5 linked regions of the Nothobranchius furzeri genome follow. The main gene of each other region encodes a partner of the protein of the gene in region 4 in a complex. Links are inferred from orthologs where the notes say so. Each region holds a gene or a part of one and is shown on either strand. Other genes may lie near its edges. The genes, in order: gemin2, snrpg, gemin5, gemin4 and strap.

Region 1 (4,201 bases), on a different chromosome or scaffold from region 4:
ATTAAATCGGAATATTTAAAGGAATCTTTGCTCGTTCAATAACCAAATTTACACCATTCTGTGTTTCATTTCAAAGAAGAGTCAGGTTTAAAAAGTTAAGAATTTATAACGAACAATTTAAAGATGACAATTTATAACAGCTTTGATATTAAAACTTGGTATTAAAAGCAAACCTGTGTCTGGATGAAAGCTAAAATGAAATGCGTGTGTTGGATGTGTGACTGGAATCTCAGAAGGTTTCTTTCAGAGAGAAACGCGTTCTGGGTGAAAGAGTTTGTTTTGCAGCTAACTAAGTTGTTTCTTAGAGATGACAGCATCAGACGCAATCTGTGTTCTACCTCACCCATCAGGCGACCCTCTGTGTGGATCCGGAGGTCAAGGAAGGATGTTGTCAGCCTCTGGGTACTCGGTCCGGTAGGGAAGGCGCGAGTGGTACCGACTCTCTGGTCCAAGAGTTGCCGCTGGCACACAGGTGTTGAGTTTGCGTCTTAACTCTGAAGGAGTTTTGTGTCAGCTGGTGCAGGTGGCGTTTATTCGGAGCGATTCTATCAGCGTGACAGAACAGCTTAGTGGAGGCTTCGGGCGGCCGACCCTTGTCCTCTGGGACTCTCGTGCCACGGAGAGGTTTTGGTTGGTTCAGAACTGTCAGCTTGAACTGAGGAGTTTTGGGTTTTATTAAAACTCAGAACACGCCCTCTCAGAGATAGAAAGCTTTGGTTATGGAGCAAAGACATGTGAGGTGGTTACCTTTACCCTGAATTCAGTGTCCTGCATGGTGTGTATAAGTGTACATGACCTTCTTTACACTGGTAAACATTACTGATTATCATAAATAATAATTATTAACCAAAGAATAATAATTCATTTCAGTAATTAAATACATTTATAATGAACCGTGATGATTATTTATGAACCTTGTAATAAACAGTGAAAAGAGTTTATTAAAAATGATTATTTTAAATCTTGAAGTGTCCTTCATCTTAGGATGGAACAGCAGACAGATTAAAGGCAGTCAGATTAAAGATGGTTCTAGAAGACTGTGCGTCTCCTGTGATGGATAATCTGTGGACAGAAGTTCAGCCAGGACAGCGTGACCTAGCTGGGGAAGTGTGACCTTTGGGTCACAAATATGGCCATTCATGTCGCTACATGTATGCAGTGTGTAAAACTGTTCCTACGTGCAGATCTGTGCATAAGTTTGTTTGATGAATGAGGGCCCTGGAGTTCTAACAATTTATTTTCGTGCGAAAATTTAAAAAACTATATTTCCACTAGCATTAGATTTGTTGTCAACCAGCTGGAGACGAGAAGCAAACTCACCAGCTGTGGAACAAACTCTCGCTCTTCAAACCAGCTGATCAGAACATCTAACAACATGAGAACTGTGGACTGAGACAAAAATATTAAGACTGTTAAACTGGCTAAAAACAACATGGATGTCATCGTAGACCCCCGTTTACCTGGTTTAGTCTGCTTACGATGCTCAGGAAGGGAGGGAAGCCAATCTAGACCCAAACAAACCATCAGTGAGACTTCACTTCCTTGGTCTCATGAAGGTGCCACAGAATTTTCATGAGTGGCGGATCATCAAAGGATTAAATAAATACACTTTATCTGTTTAGATTGTTTGCTTTTGTGGGAGAAGTAGAATGTGGAAACATCTCAGCTTTGATCGATTTAAATCAGGTAAACTCATTCTGAGGAGTAAGCGCTCACAAAGGCAATAAGGTGTAAACAGTTGTATAACCTTGCCGTAGTCCAATGCTGGTTCTTGGTGTGCATCCGTCGGGCCGGATGAAGTTCCCTGATAAACGTTCTCCCCTAAACAAAACCTCTTCCAGCCCTCCTCATCGGTCAGCCTCGGCTGTAAGACACCAGCGTCAAGCTTGCATAAACCAAACCTCCAGTGTGATGCTGCATGACAAGATTCTTACAGGTGCTTCAAATCCACCTTAACATGGGATTTCTGTCTCCCCTTGAAAGAATGCTGATTTCGGTTTGAGTAGTGAATAAAAATCTCACCATCTGCACGTTGTCATCCAGAATTTGGCTCCTCCAGTGTTGCCTGTTCTTGGTGATGCTCTGAGAAACAAAAGTGACTAAAGGACACTGTCCAGTGTGGACATGTTCGTAACGTGTGTTACTGTGTGGACATGTTCGTAACGTGTGTTACTGTGTGGACATGTTCGTAACGTGTGTTACTGTGAAGTCTCACCTGTCTGACGTCAGAGAAGTTACTGACTTGCTGCTGTTGCCACCTGAGGCTGGGGGAGAAGCCCTGAGGAGCAGCATGACATCCTGCTACCTGGAACCAAAACATGTTAAACATGTGGTGTGTGTGTGTGTGTGTGTGTGTGTGTGTGTGTGTGTGTGTGTGTGTGTGTGTGTGTGTGTGTCACTTACCGACACATTAACAGTTTGCTTCTTCAGTTTTGTGGGATCGATCTGAGCAACGACCACCTCCGGGCATAAAGAGGCCTCCAACCTAATGAAACACCAAACTTATAAAGCTCCGTGGTCGAACATGGTTCTGATTCTCGAGACGGTTCGGCTCGAACATACTGGACCTGTCGGAGGTACTCCTGGGGGTTTCTGGGGGTTCCACTCAAGTCCAGGTTTCCGCTCCCGCCTCCGGTCTCCAGCGGCAGGAGCCTCGGCATTAACTCCTCCACGTCCGACTTCATGTTCTAATAAAGTAAAAGAACAGCGGAACCGAATCAGGTAATGAAAAACACGCAAGTTTCACTACAGCACAGTCGCCATCTTCTTCTTCTTCTGGTGTTTTATTGGCGGTTGGCGAACAACGAATGGTGCATTACCGCCACCAACTGGTGTGGAGTGTGGTCTGGAACAGCGCTCATAAAACAAAATCAAACACGGGAAAGAAAGAACAAAAAAATACATATATATACACACACATACATACACATATATATACAAATACATATATACATCAAATTCTCCCAAACATCCTTATCTCTTTTAAAAACTGAAATAAAATCAGAAAACAGTCGCTTTTTGAATTCTGTCGGTCTAGTTTCACTTTGATCTGTCTAAGATTTTGAATCAATGTCCTTCTTCCTGCCTGATACTTCCGACATTGTAATATAACATGAACTATAGTTTCTTCTTCTCCACAATAATCGCATTTCCCTGTATTATGTTTCCCCATCATGAATAACGTATTGTTTAACCCAGTATGTCCAAACCTCAGTCTAGAAATGATCACCGCCTCTCTCCTACTCCTTCCAGTGTTTCTTATTTCTCCTACTCTTCTTTGAATTTTATACAACCATCTTCCCCTCCTTTCCTCCTCCCATTGTTTTTGCCATTTTTTCTTCATTTCTCGCCTTTTTATGCTCTTCATCTCTTTCTGACAAAATCGAACATCTAACTGAACCGAAGTATTTATTGTAGCTTCCTTAGCCATCTTATCGACTCCTTCATTTCCACTGATTCCACAACGAGCTGGAATCCATAAAAAATGTACTTTAAGTCCCATCGTGTTTATTCTATAAAGTGTTTGCTGAATCTCTAGGAGTATGTCTGGTCTGCTTCCTGAATGGCTGCACGTTAAACTGGTTAATGATGAGCTGGAGTCTGAACAAATAACTGAGAATAATGGTCTGTTTTCTTCCACCCATCGAACTGCTAACAGGATTGCGAGAATCTGTATAAATTTTTACATAGTTATAATAGTGATCGATATAATCCTGTGCTGTATGTGAGTTTAGTATGAAAGACTTATCCATATTCTTTCTCTCTAATAATGATAAATCAACAGACGCCTCAGGAAGAATCCATGGCGGAACAGCAGGTAATGGAACTCTTTGACTGATTGTAAACCGATCTCATTTAAGTTCTACTGGTTTTTTGATCATCACCCATCCAAAACTTGTTGTTTCCTTCTTTTCTTTCTCCCAGCAAGGTTTTGGTATGTCTCGTGTTGGATGATCTTCTTCCTGACCCTGAAGATTTGCCCAATAATTTAAAGCTATTCGTTCTCGTCTGATTGCTATTGGCATCTCACCCGTCTCTACCTGTAACGCTGCTATTGGGGTTGTTTTAAATGCTCCAGTACAGAGTCTCTGTGCCTGATTCTGGATAGAATTTAATTTTGAAAGAGTAGTTTTTGCTGCTGAATTATATGCCACACACCCATAATCTAATACTGATCTGATCAATCCATTATATATGGCCT
Region 2 (4,125 bases), on a different chromosome or scaffold from region 4:
CAACGATCTAAGTGAGACATCCTCATCTTAATCTGCTCCGGTAGGTAAATAACATGTTTAAGATAACGTTAGCTCGATATGTTAGCTTCCGTTTCGCTAATGGTGTGTTCGCTTTCTCCTCGGAACTTCGAATTTCCGACTGGAATAACATGAACGCGCTCTAAAGTTTGGCTTCACTTTACTAAATGCGACGGGTGATTGGGTGAAGATGAAACCAGCGACAACGATCTAAGTGTGAGGCATCATCGTTTTAATCTGCTCCAGCAGCTAAATAAACTGTTTAAGATAACGTTAGCTTGGTATGTTAGCTTCCATTGCCACCGTTGTTATCAGCTAATGGTGCGTTCGCTTTCTCCTCGGAACTTCGAATTTCCGACTGGAATAACATGAACGCGCTCTAAAGTTTGGCTTCACTTTACTAAATGCGACGGGTGATTGGGTGAAGATGAAACCAGCGACAACGATCTAAGTGTGAGGCATCATCGTTTTAATCTGCTCCAGCAGCTAAATAAACTGTTAAAGATAACGTTAGCTTGGTATGTTAGCTTCCATTGCTACTATTGTTATCAGCTAATGGTGCGTTCGCTTTCTCCTCGGAAATTCTAACTTCCCAGTAGGAAAAATCAAATGAAAAAGACGGCAAAAGGAATGAAGATACACAGTAAATTTAGTTCACAGTAAAGACGTTTGCTTCAGTTTAATTATCAGCTTATAAAACTACAAGGACCATGTTAAAATACAAACAGTTGTATGTTTTTTATCGTGATATTTATCAAATATGGTTATATATTGAGAAAAATATATATTTAATTATAAAAGAGAATTAAAATAATAAACACTCAAAAGTATCTAAAATTGATACCGTTAAGTACCGGTATCGATTCCTAGGTACCGGGAATTAGTACCGGATCGATTCAAATGTCAAAGGTACCCATCCCTAAGTCTGACTGAGCGCTTCCAGGAGAAATTATGAAAACAATAACGCGTGTTTGGAGCATCGGTTTAGAGGAGCGTCCTGCGATCCTCTCGTGTGAGTAGACAGTCTCTCTCTCTGATCGAGCGGAGCGCGCCACATGACAACCCGCTCAATTAACATAATTCACGGCCCAAATCCAACAGAACCGGTCGGGCTGATTTGGTTCCGGCTCAGGTTACAACTCTAGCGCTCAGCAATGCAGTACCACATCAAGGCGGAACCACGTGGTAAATGTGGAGGACGCTCACTCTGACAGATGCTGGTGCCGCCGTTAAAAAAACAAAACTACATTCCACTATAATCGATTACGGCGTACTCTTCTACGATTTATGTCCGCATCCCGATGCATCGATTATTTTCCTCAGCTCTAATTTGAATGCAGGAAAAACCCTGCACAATCTTCACAGAACCCCTGCAAACCAAGCTATTTACCCCAATTATGCAGCTAAATAAACAAAAGTAAATACAAACATTTAAAATCTAACCAAACATTAGCTGACATGCCTAAAAAATGATTTTACACCAACAGAATGATCTCTTAAAAGTTATCAAAGAAATATATTTATTATTGCGCATGTGTATACTCACAATTGCCTATCCCTAGACTCACTCTGTCAGTGTTTGAGGCAAGCAAACGACCGGATGCAGTCTAACTTCCTCCAGTTTAACAAAGACGAGACTGAAGTTATCGTCTTTGGGAATCAGAAGGTTAGGATGGACGTTACTGCTCAGCTCGGCTCCAGAGGAACGAAGACAAGGCAGCTTTATGTCTCGAGCACGTTTCAAACACAGAGGCAATCCTATGTGCTTTACAGTCACCAGGACATGATAAAACACTAACTACAACACACACAGATAGAATTACAGTTTAGAGCTAAAGGACAAAGACTCATAACTGATTCAGACCTGAGCTGCACCGGGTCAGAACCAAGCAGGGTGATGCTGCACACAGATGAAATCAGCTTCCCCGCGAGCTCAGATGTGCCCCATCTCTGGTCTCTTTATTCATCTTCCTGTCAGTCGTTGCTCCTCGTGCTGCACCTTCTGCTCTGGTGTTCCCAACCCTTCTCAGCCTTTTGATTTGACTTAGATGGATTTTAAATCTGCTGGTTTTTGTCAGACTTGCTTCATAGACCCAGACCAGGCTGAGCACCACGGAGGACAATGCCCTCCACCCTCTAACCTTTAACCCTACCCTGAGAGTTTAAGCACACCCCAACCTACAAGCGGCTTTTAAGAAGGACTGAAAACGTTTCTCTCTAGTAGATCTTTTATAGTAAAGCTTTTCATCTTTCATAATCAACATTTTCCTTTCCTCTAAACGCGTTGAGATTGTCGTGATGTAAAGCGCAACACAAATGCAATCGATTATTATTCCGTCACGTGGTTTTAATGTTTTAGCACCTTAAAACTATAAACTCTTCATAATCACAATAGGGGCTTTAAAGACATATTCGTAAAACGCCATACTCACATGAAAGCTTTTTATCCATGAATCTGAAACATAAAACAACATTTCAGGCGACGGTGGTTCACAGTTCAGGCAGGGTTGCTAATGTTAGCCTCATGGTAAAGAATGGAGCAAAGCTAACAGGCTAACACGTTCTTTCCGTTAAAATCGTGGAAACAAAATTAATAATTTCTAATTGTTATTTTTAAACACGTGAACTTACTTCTTCAGCTCTGGCGGGTGTGCTTTGCTCATTCTGTATCGTTTTTTGTACCGAAGTCCGGTGAGCTAGCTCGTCGGGGTTACGTTGAACAAAACCGCGGAAGGAAAATGTGACCGGAAGTGAAGCAGTTAGCGTTTACAGTCCCACTACGCCCCCTCGAGGCGGGGAGGAGAACGTGTTAGGGTTGGATCTGCAAATATCTGCAAGAACACTTTGTTTCAAACAACTTTTACAATTTTATTGTCAATCTTACAAAAAAGCAAAAGTAAACGTAAGTATTACATATTATACTGAAATGTATTTGAAATGTAAAACGATGTTAATAAGTGCATATTTTATGTTCCTTCTACCTTATTGTTTGTATTCAGTTGACCATTTATTTTGCTGTTGAACGACAGAGATGCATTGTGCTGCCTGATTTTTACCTGTCAGACCGGAGTCCCTAGCTCCCAGCAGTGTCAGCTCAACTTCGTTCTCTTCTTTTCCAGGATGGAAATCTGTTGTGCAGTTTGTATAATTTACACAATTTAACCTAATCTTTAAAGTTATTCTTTCATTTCTGTAAATTCTCATCAAGTTAAAAAGTATAGTTAAAATTAAGCAGATTCAACAGATAACAGGAAGAAGAGCTATTTTTGACAAAGTAAAAAACAACAAATAAAATTCAGTGAAACCAAGTTTGACTATGAAAACTCATGGAAGCCCACAACCAATATCTAAGAACACAATAAAACCAGATTGTGATTTCAAGAAGGCAACTGTAGAAGTCAAGTCCATTACTCGAACTCCTGAGGCTGCTAGACCGGGACCTGGTTGACGCTCTGTGTTGATCCGATGTTGACTAAATTACTTGAACAGCCTTAAGCGTGGAGTTGTTATGATAATGCTTCTTGTTTAATGTTGATTGCATTCCAGGATGTAACAATGATAGGAGTAATCCGATTACTTTCCCATTCAAACGTCTTCATGCCACAGCGGTCAAAAACCTGTTTGCCCTTCCGGAATAGTGCCTGACGCCAACAATGACATCACTACCTTTATTCCGACCAGTAACAATGACATCACTACCTTTATTCTGACCAGTAACAATGACATCACTACCTTTATTCTGACCAGTAACAATGACATCACTACCTTTATTCTGACCAGTAACAATGTGATAGAGTGGGAACTCTGGAAGTTATTTGCTGATCTGACAGTATCTTCAAGATAAGGGCTCCGGTCAGAGAGCAGGGCACGGAGAGACAGTTTTACGTATTTAATGACAGTTGAAGTATGGACATCTGTACATTTCTGTGGTTCCGTGTGGTCTGGAAAATAAATACAAAGAATGATGTAAAAGGATTGTACAAATGGTGAAGTAAATATGCCAACGTTTAAGACTAAGCAAAAACAAATATATTCCCAAATGATGCACATTCAAGGGTAACACAGAGTAAATATTGTGACTTCCAGCCTCAGAGGCACTGACAAATT
Region 3 (3,511 bases), on a different chromosome or scaffold from region 4:
GATATTCATAAGTGACAACTAATGAAAACTCCACATTTGGTATCTCAAAAAATTAGAATATTCTGAAAAGGCTGAATATAGAAGACACCTGCTGCCACTCTAATCAGCTGATTTACTCAAAACACCTGCAAAGGCCTTTAAAAGGTCCCTCAGTCTTGTTTTGAAGGCACCACAATCATGGGGAAGACTTCTGACTTAACAGCTGTCCAAAAGACAATCATTGACACCTTGCACAAGGAGGGCAAGACACAAAAGGTGATTGCTAAAGAAGCTGGCTGTTCGCAGAGCTCTGTGTCCAAGCACATTAACAGACAGGCGAAGGGACGGAAAAAATGTGGTAGAAAAAAGTGTACAAGCTCTAGGGATAACCGCACCCTGCAGAGAATTGTGACGACAAACCCATTCAAAAATGTGGGGGAGATCCACAAAGAGTGGACTGCAGCTGGAGTCAGCGCTTCAAGAACCACCACGAGGAGACTCATGAAAGACATGGGATTCAGGTGTCGCATTCCGTGTGTCAAGCCACTCTTGAACAAGAAACAGCGCAAGAAGCGTCTCGCCTGGGCCAAGGACAAAAAGGACTGGACTGATGCTGAGTGGTCCAAAGTTATGTTTTCTGATGAAAGCAAGTTCTGCATTTCCTTTGGAAATCAAGGACCCAGAGTCTGGAGGAAGAGCGGAGAAGCACAGAATCCACGTTGCATGAGGTCCAGTGTAAAGTTTCCACCGTCAGTGATGGTGTGGGGTGCCATGTCATCTGCCGGTGTTGGCCCACTCTGTTTCCTGAGGTCCAGGGTCAATGCAGCCGTCTACCAGGAAGTTTTAGAGCACTTCATGCTTCCTGCTGCTGACCAACTTTATGGGGATGCAGACTTCACCTTTCAACAGGACTTGGCACCTGCACACAGTGCCAAAACCACCAGCACCTGGTTCAAGGACCATGGTATCCCTGTCCTTGATTGGCCAGCAAACTCGCCTGACCATAACCCCATAGAAAATCTAGGGGGTATTGTGAAGCGGAGGATGCAATACGCTAGACCCAACAATGCAGAGGAGCTGAAGACGACTATCAGAGCAACCTGGGCTCTCATAACACCTGAGCAGTGCCACAGACTGATCGAGTCCATGCCACGCCGCATTACTGCAGTTATTGAGGCAAAAGGAGCCCCGACTAAGTATTGAGTGCTATACATGCACATTCTTTTCATGTTCATTCTTTTCAGTTGGCCAACATTAGAGAAACAAACATTTTTTCATTGGCCTTTAGAATATTCTAATTTTCTGAGATACCAGATTTGATGTTTTCATTGGTTGTCACCTATAAATATCAAATTTAAATGTAATGAACATTGGAAATACATTGGTCTGTGTGCATTGCATGAATATAATGTACAAGTTTCACGTTTTGAATGGAATTACTGAAATATTTTCAACCTTTTGATGATATTCTAATTTACTGGCCAGCACCTGTAGGCTCTTTAAATGTAAAAACCAAAGTTCTTTCAGATTCGATCGACCAGCACCGAGAAGTTCTGGGTCTGAGGGCTTTCAGTTGTTACCCATGGGGGCGATGGACAGCAGGTGGTCGTTCAGCTCGCCCCTCTCTGTGGCAAGCTGCAGCGCCCCCTCCAGGTCTCCAGTCCAAAGGCGCAGGTACACCACCGAGTCGTAGTGACCTGCCTCGATGTGGGCGTCCTCTGAGGAGCAGGAAGTGGAGTTCAGACGCATGAAAAACGTTCCTGTTAGTAAAAGCAGGAGGAAGAACCGACCTTCTGCCTGGAACATGCGGTACAGCGCCGGTCGGTCGTGGAACAGGCCCAGATGGAGGTGGTCCCCCTGACCCGGGACACAGCCTGCAGGAGGGGCTGGAACACACACACACACACACACACACCTCCTGCCTTCAGTAAAAGCATCACCATGACCACGAGCAGCGAGCACCACCCGGCTACAGACCTGCACCCCCCGGGTGTCTGACGGAGGCCAGTGTGAGGACGTCCTGCAGCAGCTCCTCTCTGGGCCGGTGGTCCATGGAGGTGCTGAGGGGCAGCATGGAGCGGGCCTTCTTCTTCTTCAGAACCAGGAGATCTGGAGAAACCAAGAGCTGCTGATCAGGACCAGAACCAGTCTACTGGGCCGGAACCCAGCTGGGACCTCAGTTCAGACAAAAACCTGGTTTTTCTTTACTTTTCGCAGCAGGAATTGAGTTTTTTTGCGTCTCAAAATTTGCTGAAAGAGAAAAAAATTCTTTTATTTTTCCACAGAATTTTTTAAAATATCATTTTTAAACTAAAGTTTAAATGAAATTCTTTTTCCACTGAAACCAGAACCGACTTGTTTCTACCTGTGGTCACCTCCTGGTTCTGTGTGGATCGGACCTCCTCCTCGTCCTCAGACAGCTCCTTCTCAGTCGTCATGGTTACTCCTACAACAGAATCTCCGTTCATGTTCGGCGCCGTGGCTCCTCCGGACCCGTTCTTGCTCTTTTTCTTCTGCTGTTTGGAACGGGCCCGCTTCTCCTGCATCATGACCTTCTTCTTTCCTGAGATGACACCACAGACAGTTCTGGCTTGGTCTGTTGGATCTGAACCAGAACCCAAATCCGGGTGTACCTTTGGGGGGTTTGGTGAATTCCTGTTTGGAGACCTTCCACTCGTGCACGGTGAAGTCCCTCCCTCCGGTCCAGATCCCATCTGGGTCAACGGGTGACCAGTCGACACACAGCAGGTAGCCGTTGTGACCGCGGTAGTTGGAGATGGCAGCCTCCTCCAGAACATCCCACACCTGCAGGAACCAGAACCAAACAGAACTTTTACAAGCTTAGAGCAGAAAGCCGTTCCAAGCGGGAACGTCTCCGTGCAGCTTTTCCAGCTGCTGACCTGGGCGGTGCCGTCGTAGGAGACCGTGACCAGCCGGCCGCTGTGATGCGGACTCCACGACATCCCCGTGATTTTAGCCGTGTGGCCGGATAACCGACGATAGGACTCGGTCAGAACCGCCGGCTCCTCTGGAGGATTCTCTATGGAAAAACGGATCAGAACGTTAACATCCAGCGTGTCTGATTCTGTTTCTACTGCACACTCCATGTTCGCTTCCCTCTTTATTATTATGTTCATGTTCATGTATTTAGCAGACGCTTTGGTCCAAAGCGGCTTACAAGTGATAATCGGCATGTTGCCCTTGAGCAGTGGTCTGCAAATGGCGGCCCGCGGGCCACGTCCGGCCCGCAAGCCCTCTCTTTGTGGCTCCGCCCACCCCCACCCCCGACCGGGAGGTTTAGGACAGAGCTGAGGAAAATAATCAAATAATCAATGCATGAGATGCGGGCATAAACGGTTTTGCATCACAGAAGAGTGCCATAATCAATTATAGTGGAATGTAGTTGTGTTATTTTAACGGCGGTGGTGCTGAGCGCTGGAGTTATAACCTGAGACCAAACCCGAATCGAATCAGCCCGACCGGTTCTGTTGGATTTGGGCCGTAAATTATGTTAGTTGAGCGGGTTGTCGCG
Region 4 (4,014 bases):
AGCTCAGCACCGACTCCAGCAGCTCCTTGGTGTCCATGGAGCTCAGGTGGTCGCTGTCCTCCGACGACCGCTCCCAGCACCTAACAGAGATCAGATGAGTAGAAGCCCAACAACAACCGCTGCACACACACACACACACGGGATCATACACACATGAGAGTCTGGTTGTACTGCTGGGCCAGAATATAGAGGAGGGGGAAGGGAGAGCAGTCCAACACCCAGTGAGGGGAGGGGGCTACTTCCTGGACACCCACAGCCAAAGCAGCGTGGAGGAGCTGCAGACTCAGTTCTGCATCGCAGGACTCTTCAGCTGCAGAAACACAGATGGGACAGCAGCAGAATGTGACGAGCGTTTACAGATCACACACAGATGAGATTAAAGCCAGCATGGACCCCGACCTGCAGCTGAGAGGCGAGGCAGGACCAGTGTGTTGACCACCTCCTGTGGAGACAAGAACCTCTGTGTCTCTTGCTCTCCCTGGAGCGTCGGGCCCGGCGCCATGAGCAGAGACAGGAACTTGAGGAGCTGCTCCTTTTCACAGGCGGACAGTGGCTTGCCTCTGACCGCCGTCTGTAAACACCTACAGAACAGACTACCACGCCCTCCAGCTTCCTGCTGCTCCACATCGTTTCCGTTTGCCTCATCCTCCCCTCCCCTCCGTCCGCGGAGTCCAGGCAGCTGCTGCAGGATCTTTGCCATGAGGCTGAAGGCTCCCCTGTTGAAAACGGCGGCGTGGCAGCAGGACCTTAAAGCCGCCTCTGGGCTCTGAAAGGCCACTCGAGCTACCAGAGAGGCTGCTGTGGTCAGGCGGCCCTGGGACACTGCTGCTGAGGCCCCGCCCCCTCCCTGGATAAGGCAGTTAAAGGCCATGTTCAGCTCTTGCTCAAAGCCGTCTGCCACAGCCGAGGGGACAGAGCAGCCAAAGAAGCCCCTGCTGGAGCGGCTCGGTACTGCAGCGAGGACCTTGTTCTGGTTTTCTAACGAAAGAGCAGAGAAGACATCTGCAGCCGTTTTAATGGCTCTCCTGCACCAGGTGGTGTTCACGTTCCCACGCTGCAGGCGACTCACGAGGGTGGAGGAGAGGCTGATGAGGGTGTTGGGCTGCGTGAAGGCCGTGTGGTTCTTCTCCAGGCAGTCCACCCACAGCTCTTCATGAGTCCAGGACAACTGGCTGGCAAACAGCGCAGCAAACTCCTCACAGTCCTCCAGGCGGTGACTGATGACGGTGGCAGCGACCTGAGCCTGCACCTGAGGGGGGGTCTCTACGGCAGGAAGAGACAGTGAACTCAGCAGACCTCTGAGTGTGCTCTTCTCAGTCACATGCTCAGATGTTCCCGTTTCTTCTAGAGCTGCCAGGACTCTCTGGACGCTCTGCTGCAGCAGGAACGCGGAGCAGCCAGGAGCGCTCAGGAGATCCTGTTCCAGCCAGAATTCTGTGAGTTCTGCTACGATCTTCAAAGCTTGGCTCAGCGTCATCCTGCTGGGCTGAAAAGGAGCTGGTGAGTGAGCAGCACGCAGGTCTCTCAGAGCCTCCTGAAGGAGTTTGGGGCTCCACGCCTGCGTCTGTCCTCTGGTGTCAACAAGCCTACAGAGGATGAGCAACTTCTCTTCAACTGGAAGCACAACCTCTGGGTCTGTTAGGAAGGATGTGTAAAGAGCGTCGAGGCAGACTAACAGGGACTGCAGGCACAAATCTGTAGTAGATACTTGATCTTTCATGTTCTTAAGAGCATGGAGGAGAACGTGCAGAACGTCTGTGTTTGCTGACGATGCAGGAAGGTCCAGCTTTAAGCGTTTTGCAGCCTGAGGCGAGACACTGGGACAATCGGAGGACAGGCGTGCAAACTGGCTGACAAACATCATCTCTAAGTCTTTGTCTTCCTGCGTCTGACATTTGTCTCTGCCTTTCCACAGCTCCCACCACACCTCCAACAGAAAGCAGACGTCTTCAGGACTGGGATCCGTCCTCAGATGCTCTGCCAGCGTTTGCAGCTCGGTGCAGATCTGCTGCTGAGGCAGACGCAGGAGCAAGCGGGCAAAGACCGGCGCAGCTGAGAGTGACTTCACCAGCTCCAGCAGAACAGCCCGGCTTACGTCAGGGAGGCCGTTCTGGAGGCAGAAGAAAGGGTTGTCCCTCCACCCCTTCTCCACATCTTCCTCAGCCTCACTGCTCATCAGCTTCAACCACACCACACAAACAACCTTCTTCTGCCAGGCCAGAGCGCTCAGCCCACAGGTGTCTCTGAGGGCCTGCAGGATCGGGAGCTTCACACGACTCCAGTCCGCCTTCTGCATCAGGGACAGGGATGAGGGGAGGCACAGTTTGTCTGCCTGGAGGAAAGCTCCCTGGAGCACGGCGGAATCTGAAAAACAGGCAAGCAACAGGCTGAGACCCGAGCTGGGCCGAGATCAGCGTTATCCAGGTGTGTGTGTGTGTGTGTGTGTGTGTGTGTGTGTGTGTGTGTGTGTGCGTGTGTGTGTGTGTGTGTGTGTGTGTGTGTGTGTGTGTGTGTGTGTGTGTGAAGGGGGGGCAGGCTGCAGGTGAAGCAGGTCCAGAACGAACGACTGGCTAGGAGAGGGCTCTTCAAACCTGCAGCTTGCTGCTTCAGCCTGAGCGTTTAGCGCCATGTTCGTCTCTACCGACTGGAGACGAAGCTCGCGCAAGTTCACGAGACATGTCTAACATTAATAATTACCTTTGTCCATGGCTGCGGAGGCAGGAACATACACCCGCCCGCCTCGTGAACCAGTTCGTTACCAGGAAAGGCGCTTCCGGTTTCCAGCAGGAAGCCGGGCTGCTGTCAGGTGGCGAGGCGTCCCCACAGCGCCACCCCTGGATAGATACGGTACTGCAGCCGCATTAACCCAGCAAACCGCCAAACCTGCTTCACCTTGTTGTTATTGTTGTTGTTGTTGTTGTTTTCCTCGCCTTTTCTGTTGGATTGTTGACTGGTTTGTTTTTACTGTTGCGAGGTTTTGCGTTGTTGACTAGACACCGCGTTCACCAGTGCTGCCGCCAGACCGGAACACCGGTTCAGCCCTACGTGTGATGGTTTAAACGTTACTCGCTTTTAGTGACATTTAAAAGTGTTTTGCAGTATTTCTCCTTGTGAAACTGTCTCTGCTCGTCACGTGATGCAGCTGCATGCAAAGCAGGTTTTTTTTCGTTGTAAATGAAAGCGAAAGTGTTCTGAGAATAAATGTGCAGCTGAATGAAGCAGGAACAAGGATCAGTAGATCTGATGAATAACCATGGTTCCACCCTGCAGGATTCTTATTTACGGTTTTATCTGGACAGGTAAGTCTTCAGAAGGCTTGTATCCCTGCGAGTGTGGGGACAGTTTGTGTTTTTGGAGGAAGCCCACTCGGATCAGCTGCTTTGAGTTGTTGGTCTGTCTCCAGGGGTCTACTGTAGCCAGCAGATACTATGGCTGCCCTGTCACTTCACAGATGAACAGGTGATTATGAACAATGAAGGACATAGAGAGACCCAGCGGATCCCCAGAAATGCTGTGCTGCAGTTTGGTCAGACAGGAGAAGCTCCTGTAGATCTACGCACCATCACTTTTCAGGTCACAGGTAAGCCACCTGACACAGGTCACCATTACACACCTGACAACGGTTGCACCTTACTCTTCTGTGTTCTGCTGCAGGGTCCAAGGTGGACATGCGGCACTATGTGGAGGGAGTGGAGGCAGAACAGCTGGAGTGTGAGCTGCGTAGATACAGCACACAGGGCATCTATGTCCACTGGCCCAGTCAGAAGGCCAGGGAGTACAACCACTGGTTCTCCGTCTCTCTCAAACACAACCAGGGCCTTTTCACTGTGCTCGGCTTCCTCAGACACCCGTCTGACCAGCCTCCACCAGGAAAGCAGGACTACCTCAGCTGGGTTCCCATCACTGATGGACAGATGCTCACTACATCAGGTCAGTTAGTTTCACTCCATAATGCCAACAGCTCCAGTTCTGGTTCTTTGATGGTGTTTCTCTGTGTTCTGTCTTTGTCCATCT
Region 5 (4,250 bases), on a different chromosome or scaffold from region 4:
GCTAAGCAAAACTGACCTGAGTGAAGTTGACAGACTTCACAATGTGCTTGTGTGCCAGTGAGAGGACCTCGTCTCCACTTACGGCATCCCACACCTTCCTGGAAAGCAAAATGTTCACCATTATAGATTTATAGTAGCCTGGCAAGCCATCCTATATGCACAATTATTTTGCTTCGACAAATGACTGTCTTCTAGATTCTAGGCTAGATGTATAGTAGTTTATCGAATAAATGAAACTAAACATTTAATAGAAAACACGTAACAGAAACAAAGAAAGGTTGGTTTTCTTTTTTTTTAAAACACATGCAAAACAGATCGTTTTTCTTCACCAGGACTTTGAGGATGCTGCTGGTGGGAATTTTAGCATGATTTAAACACGTTTTTTTTTTTTCCTGAAATGTTAAAATTAAGAGTTACTCTGAAAACAAGATCATTTTTATGACACAAGGTGAGATCTTGCATGGAGCCCAAGGTTGAGGGAGATTGTGAGTGATCTTGTATTTTTTTTTTCATTTTGTAACAGTTGATCTTCTTTCACCTAGGTGCACCACTTGCACCAAGTGACTTGCTGTATTTTTCTGTTTTGAGGTTTCTAAGATAACACATAAAGAACAAGAAAAAAGTTAAGAAGCTATGATTTGTCTGGTAAATGGGATAGTGAAATTCTTTTTCAGTGGTTCAGTTTACTTCCTTTTTGAAATATGTATGTCCAACAATCTCAATGAGTCCAAACGCACATTTGCAGAGTGTGTGAGTGAAGGGGAGTAGAAAGAGAATATATTATTAATAAAAGACAACTTGTTTTTACAGCTAAACGTTTTAAGAGTGTTAAAAACAAGAAAAAAGTGCATTTTCCAACAAAATTCAAATCATGCATCTCTACATCGAGAGCTGAACCCCACTCACGCTGTGAAGTCTGCAGCAGCTGTGGCTGCCTTGGTGGCGTCTGTATTCAGAGTGGCTCCCCAAACCGCACCTTTGTGACCCAGAAACGTTCCGATCCAGTCCCCTGTGTCTCCCTGGCGCAACATGGGCTTGCCATCTAACAAAAGGAAGAAGGGGATGGTGATGTACTTGTTAAAACTCCCATGAAAAGATCATTAATATGAACTTTCTCAAGACATTGAGTGGCTTTCAAGCAGCTGGTGTAAAATGTTAAAAATCAGTTTTGTATTAATCTGAGCTGAGAAACTGGGTGTTTCTCAAGGTCAAGGAACCTCGCCTTGATGCCTTGGTCCCAGCCCAGTTGCCTAAGAGATACGTCATCAGGAACCGCCAAGACGTGTTCCAATGTTCATGTGCTACAGAGGCGTCTGTCCTTCGTTTGTCCGCCGTTTAGCTAACTGACTGAGAATACATGGGAGGTGTCTTGTTGCCTTCTCTGACTGAAACATTTCTCAGAATACACCACAGTATTTTCAAATGAATGGCGGATCAGGAGCCGGCAGCTACTTCAGGGGCAAATTTCCAGTTTAAATGCAAGTCAACTAATTGTAGCTATCAGGCTGATATCTGAAATATTTTTTTAGATTCAAAGCAATTATCTATGGTTGGTCAGTTGCTTTGCAGTTGCAGATTCGGTGGCAAGCGGGTAGTAACTTGCTTACATATTTAATTTAACCAATATATACATAATTTAAAAAAGTTAAAGGCTAGTTATACATATATATAAATCTAACTTTACCTCACATGTCACATGACGTGATGGCGGGTCACGTGAGATAAGTCTGTTCCATGTAACCGTTTTCTTTAATCCTTGCAGGACAGTGTCCTCTTAAGCACTGAGAAACAGCCACTGCCTTAAATTATATAGAATGTGTAAAGAGGACCAAACTCAACAAATGTTAAAGCTGCTAGCAGAGGCTTATTAGGGGCACCATGGTAACCATCAGTAGCTTATTACTTTCGCCATGGTATTCACCTTCCCGTTTCCCTCACTCCCTGACAGAACACTTGGTGAGGGTCATATGGCTATTCTGACAGAAAGGGAAGCCTAAGACGAATGGTGATGATTTTACTGTTTTTTTTTTTTTTTTTTTGTAATGGAAGAGAATTTTTCAGGTAAAAATTATCTCCACTTTTTGCTTGGAAACAAGTAGGTGAACACAGAGGAAAACTCCTACACGATGACAAATTTGTATTTATATAAAGTTGTGAAAGAAATGTGATTCTTCAAAGAATGAAACCAGATCGTGAACTGAACACATCTGAGGTGATTCAAGTAATGCAGATAGGATTTTCATAAAAAAAGACATCTGAAATAAATCGTTACAAAGTTTCTTTTGAGGCGCAGGTAAGTCAGGGACCAAAGTGAGAGAAGTCTGTGTGAGTGAGACAGGTAAATGAAGATCCTGAGCAGGGCAGCACCTTGGATTTGGACGGCTTGAGGACTCACCTTTGCAGGCGCTGATGAGGAAGTAGCCAAAAGGAGTGATTCCACTGAAAGCCAGGTCCACCACAGGCCGGGTGTGACCGGAGCAGGTGAGAGGGGTCTGTCTCATCGCCATGCTCCTCCAGCTGGACAGAGGACAGAAGACCGAAAGAGGAAGAGTTAGCTGGTCGCTAACGGCTGGCTTACAAGCTAGGTCGGCTAACCAGTAGCCGAGGAATACGAAACGTCTAATTGGCGCGTTGTTATCAAAGCTGTAACGTCCTGCCGTTGTCTGTTAATTAATCTTTTAACAGCCGAGAATTCAAAGTTATTCTGACCAAATGTCGGCTCTCCCCCAGCAAAAGAATGGCTGTCGTGCTAATAGCTACAACATTGCAACTAACTAGCAACGTGCACTGCAGCGTCACAGTGACAGTGTAGTAAAAGAGTTGACGTAACGTAAGCGTGCGGTGCGACCCGTCGCCGCCATATTGTCAGAGTCATTTGGTAAAGCGCACACAGCTGAAAGCTGAGTCTGATTAAAAGTTCTCGACAGAGATACAACATTCCCGTTCTTCTGGCGAACATATATGACTGTGCGAAGGAGTGGGAGCTGTTTGAGCTGTAGTCTGGAAAACTGGGATTTAAAATTGGAATATTGCAGGAATGAATTGTGCTGCTTTGGAATGAAATAAAGTGGCAGGAAAAATAAAGTTTAGACACAGCAGTATTAGAATATGCATTAATGTAGTCAGTAATAATAATAATAATAATAATAATAATTATTATTATTATTATTATTATTATTAGTTCTCAAAATACATATATCATATTTTCCCGGTATTATAAACAGTCTGATCAGTTTTTCATATTCCCCATTTCATTTTTTTTCTACAGTAGGACTAGCCTGGCCTGCCAGACTCTGTGCAGAATTAAACAGAGGAGGAGTATGGCAGGCCAGGCTACAGTAGAAAACCATGAAGTCAGAGACCCATAATAAGCTTGTTGGATCCAGATTTTACACTTTAAATACAAAATAACCCAGTCTGGTTCTAATCCACCTACTACATTATATCAGGTATTTATTCAGTCTGCTGTTTATGTCTCAAAAACTTTAATTTCAAGGATCAGTGTATGTGACAGTGTGAGTGTCCTGTCACAGTGTCACGATTGATCATGTGCCCTGGCTACTTGACATAGGGGATGTCCTTTTGGCTGACTGGTATGAGTGCGTGACTCTCACCCAGGAGCCTGGGGATCAAATCCCGCCCGGGCCCTCATTTCTCCACCCTGCCACATTTATAACATTGTCTGTGGAGGTAAAAATAGCAATATTCTGTACTGTAGAAATAGAAACACGTATGGATTAATCATCAAATGATTTACATCCTGGTGTCTTCAGGGCAGTGCTCTCTCAATCTCTGGTCCTGGAGCTCTTCCATCCAGCATGTTTTAGTTGTTTCCCTGCTCCAGCACACCTGATTTGATGGCTGATACCAGTTCAGAAGACCATCAAGCCTCTAAGCAGGTCATGTGTATTAATTAATTTAGTTCAAATAGATAAATACAATAAAGTTGTTTCTGCATTAATCTGGCCTTGGAGAAGAGTATAGCACCTATGGGTCTGGCAGAATAAAACAGATGTTCTTCACCGACTTTCAGGTGTGAGAACGGAGAATGCCAGAGTCTGTGAAAATCCCTCCCCAGATGTGTGTGTGTTTATTTATGTGTTTAATAAATATTAGCTTATCTCTCAAGAGTAGTTTTTTTGGGGGGGGGGGGGGGGGGGGGGGGTTCCCACTCGGTGCTAGTATCCCTAGTTCAAAAGTGAGTGTCTCTAAGAGTTACATTGCAATATCCGGACTGTTTTACAAGTGTC

Evidence for each region.
Region 1: gemin4 (region 4) and gemin2 share a complex: the UniProt entries of both Homo sapiens proteins name them as parts of the SMN-Sm complex. The link is inferred for Nothobranchius furzeri from reciprocal best matches to the Homo sapiens genes GEMIN4 and GEMIN2.
Region 2: gemin4 (region 4) and snrpg share a complex: the UniProt entries of both Homo sapiens proteins name them as parts of the SMN-Sm complex. The link is inferred for Nothobranchius furzeri from reciprocal best matches to the Homo sapiens genes GEMIN4 and SNRPG.
Region 3: gemin4 (region 4) and gemin5 share a complex: the UniProt entries of both Homo sapiens proteins name them as parts of the SMN-Sm complex. The link is inferred for Nothobranchius furzeri from reciprocal best matches to the Homo sapiens genes GEMIN4 and GEMIN5.
Region 5: gemin4 (region 4) and strap share a complex: the UniProt entries of both Homo sapiens proteins name them as parts of the SMN-Sm complex. The link is inferred for Nothobranchius furzeri from reciprocal best matches to the Homo sapiens genes GEMIN4 and STRAP.

The regions. Positions count from the first base shown.
Region 1 is NC_091758.1:40,480,320-40,484,520, forward strand, and holds the start of gemin2 (gem-associated protein 2), read right to left. Parts: upstream 2,806-4,201; 5' UTR 2,685-2,805; coding exon 2,563-2,684; intron 2,486-2,562; coding exon 2,404-2,485; intron 2,306-2,403; coding exon 2,216-2,305; intron 2,110-2,215; coding exon 2,023-2,109; intron 1,865-2,022; coding exon 1,748-1,864; intron 1,506-1,747; coding exon 1,461-1,505; intron 1,390-1,460; coding exon 1,321-1,389; intron 1-1,320. UniProt on the Homo sapiens protein: The SMN complex catalyzes the assembly of small nuclear ribonucleoproteins (snRNPs), the building blocks of the spliceosome, and thereby plays an important role in the splicing of cellular pre-mRNAs.
Region 2 is NC_091755.1:44,512,073-44,516,197, reverse strand, and holds the start of snrpg (small nuclear ribonucleoprotein G), read right to left. Parts: upstream 2,803-4,125; 5' UTR 2,682-2,802; coding exon 2,650-2,681; intron 2,474-2,649; coding exon 2,451-2,473; intron 1-2,450. UniProt on the Homo sapiens protein: Plays a role in pre-mRNA splicing as a core component of the spliceosomal U1, U2, U4 and U5 small nuclear ribonucleoproteins (snRNPs), the building blocks of the spliceosome.
Region 3 is NC_091750.1:72,365,780-72,369,290, reverse strand, and holds part of gemin5 (gem-associated protein 5), read right to left. Parts: intron 3,020-3,511; coding exon 2,880-3,019; intron 2,785-2,879; coding exon 2,613-2,784; intron 2,543-2,612; coding exon 2,345-2,542; intron 2,230-2,344; coding exon 2,173-2,229; intron 2,089-2,172; coding exon 1,957-2,088; intron 1,866-1,956; coding exon 1,770-1,865; intron 1,698-1,769; coding exon 1,560-1,697; intron 1-1,559. UniProt on the Homo sapiens protein: The SMN complex catalyzes the assembly of small nuclear ribonucleoproteins (snRNPs), the building blocks of the spliceosome, and thereby plays an important role in the splicing of cellular pre-mRNAs.
Region 4 is NC_091753.1:62,516,148-62,520,161, reverse strand, and holds the start of gemin4 (gem-associated protein 4), read right to left. Parts: upstream 2,804-4,014; 5' UTR 2,708-2,803; coding exon 2,698-2,707; intron 2,365-2,697; coding exon 400-2,364; intron 311-399; coding exon 154-310; intron 81-153; coding exon 1-80. Other genes in the region: dhrs13b.2 (tapasin-related protein), read left to right, coding at 3,254-3,299, 3,404-3,580, 3,655-3,930. UniProt on the Homo sapiens protein: The SMN complex catalyzes the assembly of small nuclear ribonucleoproteins (snRNPs), the building blocks of the spliceosome, and thereby plays an important role in the splicing of cellular pre-mRNAs.
Region 5 is NC_091741.1:63,716,484-63,720,733, reverse strand, and holds the start of strap (serine-threonine kinase receptor-associated protein), read right to left. Parts: upstream 2,803-4,250; 5' UTR 2,508-2,802; coding exon 2,396-2,507; intron 1,043-2,395; coding exon 907-1,042; intron 99-906; coding exon 17-98; intron 1-16. UniProt on the Homo sapiens protein: The SMN complex catalyzes the assembly of small nuclear ribonucleoproteins (snRNPs), the building blocks of the spliceosome, and thereby plays an important role in the splicing of cellular pre-mRNAs.